2 linked regions of the Callithrix jacchus genome follow. The protein of the gene in region 2 purifies or fractionates together with the protein of the main gene of each other region. This does not show direct contact. Links are inferred from orthologs where the notes say so. Each region holds a gene or a part of one and is shown on either strand. Other genes may lie near its edges.

Evidence for each region. The genes of interacting proteins can lie anywhere in the genome.
Region 1: the proteins of NCK1 (region 2) and ARHGEF7 purify together in Homo sapiens (co-immunoprecipitation; 3 studies listed by BioGRID and IntAct, with this or other methods). This does not show direct contact. The link is inferred for Callithrix jacchus from reciprocal best matches to the Homo sapiens genes NCK1 and ARHGEF7.

The regions. Positions count from the first base shown.
Region 1 is NC_133502.1:26,672,879-26,676,621, reverse strand, and holds the start of ARHGEF7 (rho guanine nucleotide exchange factor 7), read right to left. Parts: upstream 2,448-3,743; 5' UTR 2,082-2,447; coding exon 1,917-2,081; intron 1-1,916. UniProt on the Homo sapiens protein: Acts as a RAC1 guanine nucleotide exchange factor (GEF) and can induce membrane ruffling. Functions in cell migration, attachment and cell spreading. Promotes targeting of RAC1 to focal adhesions. May function as a positive regulator of apoptosis.
Region 2 is NC_133518.1:47,383,349-47,387,091, reverse strand, and holds the start of NCK1 (SH2/SH3 adapter protein NCK1), read left to right. Parts: upstream 1-1,440; 5' UTR 1,441-1,524; exon of another isoform or gene 1,525-1,959; intron 1,960-2,267; exon of another isoform or gene 2,268-2,372; intron 2,373-3,743. UniProt on the Homo sapiens protein: Adapter protein which associates with tyrosine-phosphorylated growth factor receptors, such as KDR and PDGFRB, or their cellular substrates. Maintains low levels of EIF2S1 phosphorylation by promoting its dephosphorylation by PP1.

The DNA.
Region 1 (3,743 bases), on a different chromosome or scaffold from region 2:
CTGACCAACATAGCAAGACCCCATCTCTATTTAAAAAAGAAAGAAAGAAAGGAAAGAAAGAAAAAACCCAGATAACTCTCCTGGGAAATGGAAAAAGCTCACAAAACTTCTGAAACGCAGGGATCTTAGAGACAGAAATGGCTATTTTGCTCCAAAAACCTACCTTTGAATTCCAGAGAACCAGCAACTGTGTCTACAATATGCTGCTTTACATTAAACTTTCACTGTGACAGAGTCAGTTTAAAACAAACCAACTGGAGCTTGGGGGGGAATGAAAAACATATTTGACCTAAGACATTTCCAAATGACTGCAGTTTTAGAATATGTTGAGTTGTTTTAAGTTGGCTTCTGCAAGCTCAACATTTTATTCATTCCTCTCTCCGTTGTTTTAGAGTTGAAATGAATGCTACAGTTTTCTAGGAAAATCTTTCTAGAATTCAGAAGAAAATGATTATTGAAGCCTGTCAATCACTATTAATGCAGTTAATATGCCAAACACCACATTCTTTGATGGCGACACGTTTTTATCAACACGGCATATGAAGTTTCTCAAAGCTTTGCTTTCAGAGATGATACAGGATTTTATTCAAGCCTATTTTGGCGAACTTAGCATGTATTTCAACACTTTTCGACATCTGTCTTGTATTACCAGAGGTACCAGTCTCCAAACAACAAAGTATTTTGAATGCCTTGAAAGTCAGATCCTGCTCCTTAGTCCTCCTGTCTTAAATCATCATGTCACTGTGACATCAGGTTCATTTTAAAGGAACGTTTTTATTTCATGGACACTCTAATATGCAGATTCCGTCTTCATAAAAATGTGCCAAGTAAGAAAAATACCTAAAACTGGAATGTAAGCCAAATTCACATTTAATGTTTTCTGACCTCATTTAAAATGTAGCAGCAGAACATGCGCACGTGTATAAGATTAAACATTTTACTTTTCAAGTCACTTAGGTGGCATTTTATTTACAAGTTGTCATGCTGTATGGGGGCCAATACACCCCACTTAGAAACTTAAGTCGTTCTTCCTAGTTGTGGTACTCTTCAGTTTCTGTATTTAACACATTTTAAATAATTGTTGATCTGAACGCTGTGTATTGGCCACCCACCACCCTCCCCTCCTCCAAAAAAAAAAAAAAAAAAAAAACCCTGGGAATAAGATTGGTATTTTGAGCTACAGGGAGACCTCGTTTTTAGAAGCTCTCCTGTCTCCTGGGCCCTGCTGGCCGGTTTGTGGGCGATGAAAACAAACTTTAATCACTTCCAGAAATTCGGGTCAGGGTTCACACGCTCCAGTCTGGGAACTACCAGAGGGGAGGGAGAGGCAGTGCCTGCAGGACTCTGGGTTCTATTCAGAACCAGGGAGGGACCTGAGAACGAAATCTGAAATTTTAAACAAGCCTTGCAGAGTGCCGGGGCTTAAACCCTGTGTCTGCCGTCCTCTCGGATGGGGGTAATTTTCTCCAGGGGAAAGTAAGTACATCATTTCCCAGCGCAGCCCTCAGCCGCAGATGCGAGCATCTTTAAAAATGCAGAGCAACCGGTCCATTCACCGGGAGGCGAAACACGCAACGCCACCGGCAAGAACTGTCCACACAAAGCCAGCGGACAGAGCCGCACGGCGTCGGAACGCGGTTCCGACCGGGCCGCGGCGAGGCAGCGGAGCCCACCTCCAGCGCGGAGGGGCCACTCGGCGTTCGGACCCCCACCGCCCGCGCCCCTCCTCCCGCCCCCTACCCAGCCCCGCTCACAATGGCGCCCCCGGAGCTCCCGCCACGGTCCTGGCGCCGGCCGCGCCGCCGCTCCGCGCACAAAGGAGGGCGCGCGGTCCCCCGAGCGCGGCCGGCCCCAGGTGCTCCGCGCGCATCCCGGGCCGCAGCGGGCCGGGCCGGGGGGCGCGGGCGAGGACTTACTTTCTCGATGGTCCCGGGCAGCAGGCGCTCCAGCAGCCTGCAGAGGACCACCCCATCCTTCAGCGACGCCTGCAGAAAGCCCTCCGGGTCCGCGATGGTTTTTTTGGGCGACTCCAGCACCCCCAGGGTGATGAGCCACGTAACGGTCTGCTCCGCGGAATTCATCGCGGCGGCCCGGGAGGCGGGCGGGCGGGGAGGGGCGCGCGCCTGCTTCACCTCGGAGCGGCTGCCCGGCCCGCGGCCCCCACCGCCCCCGCCGCCGCCGCCGCCTCCTCGCCCATGGAGCGGCCGGCGCCGGCGATCGGCTCGGCGCGGCCCAGCAGCTCCGGCCCGGCCCGGCCCGCTCCTCCGTGCGCCCCGGCCCACGGTCAGGCGCCTTCTCAGGAGCGGCTCAGGAACCTGCGGGCGCCCGCCGCCGCCCCCCGGCCTCGGCCGCCGTCGCCCAATGACATCACCGCCAGGAGAAGAAAGACGCGGCCGTCCGCCCGGCCCGCGCCCGGCCCGCGCCGCCCCGCGCCCTGCGCAGCCTCCGCTCCAGGCCGTGCGCGGGGCGGCGGCGGCGGCGGCAGCGGGGAGCGGGCGGGGAAGGGGGAGCGGAGCGTGGGGCGCAGGGCGCGGGGAGAAGGAGCCGGGGGCCCCGGGCGGGGGCGGGCGCGCACCTGCGCTCACCTGCCCCGGGCCCGCCGCGCGCCCCGCGCCCCGCGCCCCCGGCCGGGGCCCCGGGAGCCCTTTGTTTATGTTTTGAATTCGTGAGCGTTGAAATGATGAAGTGCTTCCCAGAATGCTCTTTTTATTTTTGCCGGTTTTGTGTCACGGTGGCGGGGAGAGGCTGAAAACGAGACGTTGGTTTGTTTCCCTTCGCTCCCTCCGGTCACTGCGGAGCACGGATGAGGATGACATCTGCGGCCGGCGGGGTTTGGAGCGGGGGTTGAGCGGGGACTGACGCTCAGCGCGCGGCGCTGACCTTCCAGGCCGGGAAGGGGCCTGCGTGACCCCGCTCGAAACGGGCGGCGACGCCTCAGACCCTGCTGGGGGAAGGTCAAGGAGAATGGGCGGCCTGAAGCAGGGCTGTGCGAAGGGCCGGGTCGGTCAGGGCTGCGAGTCGGGGGGCGCAGCGTCACGGAAGAGCAGGGCTGGAGACCGCGCTGTGAACGCGCCAGGCCGAACCTGGAGATCCCAGACGGCAGCTGTCGGGTCATGCGCGAGCTTCCTCGAGCACCTGATGACACGCACACATTTCCACGCGAGGAACAAATGGAGCCTTTTCTTAAAAGGACGCGCGTCTCCACTCACTCCACCCACTGCCCCTGAGCGCTCTCCCCAGTTTGCTCGCTGCGACCCGCGGGCAGTTGAACAAGCAAAGCGCTTACTCTATGCCAGGCACATCCATTAATCCATTCAGTGGCAGAGGCCAGAAAGCACATAAAGCTTCCAAAAATAATCAGAGGCTTAGGTCGTCTCCCTCTGCCTCTGCCGGTGGTTTTCTCTTGCAATAACTAACTGCATTTATTTCTAGCCTTGAGTTAAGTGTTTAAAATTTTCTTTGCAAATACACAAACTATTCAAGTGGCAGTATGAATTCTGGATTACGAGGACAATGTGCTCTCCGTGATAACAGCAACCAGCAGGAACCTCACGAAGAGCTGTCTACTGCCTCACCTCCCATCATGGTCCCCGTTTTACCGATCAGATGCCGAACACATGGCAGAGATGGCACCCGAAGCTCAGCTCTACCAGTAAAGACATAGCTAACCCGTTTCTTCCTGCTGCCCTGTAAGCTTTCTAGGAAACAGGAGAGCAATCCACAGCTACATCAAGCCTTGTCCC
Region 2 (3,743 bases):
GATTCAATGGAGTTTACAATCCACGTAGGGATACAGACAAACCATTTCAATAGCTCGGATGGAGAAAATACCTGTGCTCAAGGATACCTAACTCGGCAAGCTTCCCTGAGGAGCGACCCTAAACTGAACCACAAAGATGGTTAAGAAGAAATGAGGCAGCAGGGTGTGGTGGCTCATGCCTGTAATCTCAGTACTCTGGGAGGCCGAGACAGGCGGATGAGAAGGTCAAGAGATGGAAATCATTCTGACCAACATGGTGAAACCCCGTCTCTAATAAAAATACAAAAATTAGCCGGGCGTGGTGACGCGTGCCTGTAGACCCAGCTACTAGGGAGGCTGAGGGAGAGAATCGCTTGAAACCAGAAAGCGGAGGTTGCAGTGAGTCGAGATCGCGCCACTGCTCTCCAACCTGGCGACAGAGCGAGACCCCGTCTAAAAAAAAAAAAGGTTACTACGGTTTGCAGCACACTTACTGATGCTTCAGCCAGTGGCTGGAAACCTTATAACAGGCAGACCTAGCTCCGAAGATCCTCTTCATAACACTACTGTCGCCAAGACTGGAAGCTGCCCAAGCACGAGGGTCCTTTTAGAGGGACCTCAGACTCAGTTTATTTTGGTCTGTGCCTCAAATTAAACACAAGTCGGCCTGGCGCCGTGGCTCACGCCTGTAATCCCAGCACTTTGGGAAGACGAGGCAGGCGGATCACGAGGTCAGGCGATCAAGAGCATCTCAGCCATGGTGAAATCCCGTCTCTGCTAAAACACAAAAAATTAGCCGGGCGTGGTGGAGGCGCGCGCCTGTAGTCCCAGCTACTCAGGAGGCTGAGGCGGGGAATCGCTTGAACCCGGGAGACGGAGGTTGCAGTGAGCCGAGATCACGCCACTGCACTCCAGTCTGGGCGACAGAGCAAGACTCTGTTTCAAAAAAAAAAAAAAAAAAAAAGCCACATGTCTTACATTTCTCCCAGGTCCCAATTTTCAGGTCTTTTTATTTGTTTTTCTTTGTCCCTCCCTGCTCCTAAGCACCTTCGGCTGGGAAGACATTCTTCAGGTGCAGAAACCAGGGGGAGGCTCCCTGAACAGTGGGGGTTAGCTCAGGACGCTGTCATTTTTGCTGTAGAGTCTCTCCTGCAGCGCTGGGGCGGAAGGCTCAAAGTAACCACCCAGAGCAACCGCAGAGGGAAAACCGAAGACAGTCGTGGTCTGGCCTACCGCTTCTCACCCTCTCGCTGTCTTCTTTCCGCCGCGCAGCCTCAGCTCTTTCCACAGTACGAACGGCGCTTGATTGACAAGTGGGCCCGCCCAATCCCAGTGCGGCACAGACCACTGTCGCGTCAAGGACCGGGAAAGGGGGCGACTGAACCTATCAGATTGGGTCGGGAGTGGGTTTCCTGCCCGCGCGGATCCGCCTGCCCACCGCGCGTGCCCCGCCCCTCTCCCGAGAGCTACGCGGCGGTAGAGCGCAGGCCTCGTGCCGTTACGGTCATCACGGCGACCGCGGCGGCGTCCCGGTGCCTTCCTCAGGTGAGCTGGAGCTAGCCGGCACGGAAGACGGAGGGTGAGATGGCCTTGCTGGGAGGCCGACACACACACACCCCCTCCTTCAGTCGGCTGTCCGTCCTCACAGCCTGTTACTCGCTGCGTCGCTTCCTCTTCCCCCGCTGAGTTAGCCCCGGGGGCGCCGTCTGCAGGCTCGGAGCTGAGCCGGAGGGGATGCGGAGGCTGCTCGGCGGGGCCCGGACGTCTGCACTGGGATTCCGCGAGACCCTTGGGGCTCTGCCCCAGGGAGCGCGAACCCGTGGCCTCCTTGTCAGCCCCTGGAGCGCTGCGTCGGGGTTAGAGCCCGGGCGACCGCCCCTGCGAGGCTGGGAGGTCGAGTGTGCGGCTCGCTCGCCGGCTTGTCTATTTTCTACTGAAAAAGTCCTGTTGCCAGCTGTGGCGTAATCCAAGACCGGGAAGGTAGGGACGTGGTAGAAGGGAGGGCGCTCTCACCTCCAGCCCGAGAGGAGGAGGGGGCGGCAGCCTGCGCGGTGCTGAGGGTGGACATATTCGGGACGCGCCCTCGCCCCTCCCCCTACCCGCCGGCGGTTTTCTGGTCCGGGGCTTTGACTTTAAACGTCTGGACCTGCTTCACATTCGTACGCGAGTTGCTGGGGGTGTAAACTTTTGACTTGAGTTGTAATATGTTTGGTAAAAAAATTATCTCGATAGTTTTGTAACATTTCTTGTATGTTAACGTATAAGTTAAATTTGCCGTTAGAAGCTCAGGAAGCTGGATTTGTTCAGGGCTGAGGACGTAACGGTAGGAAGGCTCTCGGTGTCAAATCGATGGATCTGGAGTCAACTGAAAATAATTCTACACGTTATATTAGGTAAGAAGCCTTAGGAATTGTGAAAGAATGAGGTTAAGAAGAATTTCCAACTCCTTTTTGGGAGGGGAGCAAAGCAGCTCAATGCCCCAAAACGGGTAAGTGTTGCCAAGAGGTCCTCATTTTTTTTTGGTTGTTGCTGATTTTTTTTTTTTTTTTTTTTTTTTTTGAGACAGAGTCTTGCTCTGTCGCCAGGCTGGGGTGCAGTAGCGCGATCTCGGCTCACTTGCAACCTCCGCCTCCCGAATTCAAGCGATTCTCCTGCCTCAGCCTCCCGAGTAGCCGTGCTACCGTCGCGGGCCATTACCACCCCCAGCTAATTTTTGTATTTTTAATAGAGACGGGGTTTCACCGTGTTGGCCAGATGATTTCCATCTTCTGACCTCGTGATCCGCCTGGCTCGGCCTCCCAAAATGCTGGGATTACAGGTGTGAGCCACCGTGCCCAGCCAAAGTACTCATTTTAAAAATCTTTCTTGGATAGACTTACGGCAAACCAACAATAATGATTTCTTCAGCACCTGGAAAGCGCTATGTCTAAACTCTCAGCCTTCAGCGAGGTCACACAGTAAATGGGGAAATAACCCAATAAGAAAGTTTTGTTTGTTTGGTAATTGTCAACGTTTGTTCTTTTCTTTTTTTAAAACACTTTATTTTCTTGTGGGGATGGAGTCAGTGATGTTCTTAAATAGGCATTCCATTCACAACTTGATAGTAATATGCACTGGTTAATAAATGGTACTTTCTTTTCATCTTGACCACAAGCTCTGAGGCTTTCTTCTTTGGGAAAATTATGGTCTGTGGGAATTGGCTCTAATATCCATAAAGATAGATTGCAGAGTGTTCAGATCTACTAGCTGTTGGTTCATGTATTAAATTTTTAAATGTGTACTTATTTTTCTAGGCATTATCTTTTGTCCAGGTTTCTGTAGTGCTTTCAGGTCCATGTAAATAAAACTTGAAACCTACCTGTAATGTTTTGTTAGTTACTGAATGAGACCAGGCGAGGTAGTTCAAGCCTGTAATCCCAGCACTTTGGGAGACCAAGGCGGGAGGATAGCTGGAGTCCAGGAGTTTGAGATCAGCCTGGGCGATATAGTGAGACTCTGTCTTTAAATTAGAAAATTAAAAAAAAAATTTAAAAAGGAAAATAAAAAGAAAAGTGATATTAAGTGATGCTTTGTGTTTCTTGGTTTCTTTGAGATGGAGAAACATAAAGACTTGCTCTGTTGCCCAGGCTGGAGTGCAGTGGCATGATCTTGGCTCATTGCAACCTCTGCCTCCTGGATTCAAGCGATTCCTATGCTCAGCCTCCCCAGTAGCTGGGACTACAGGTGTGTGCCACCACACCCAGCTAATTTTTTTTTTGTATTTT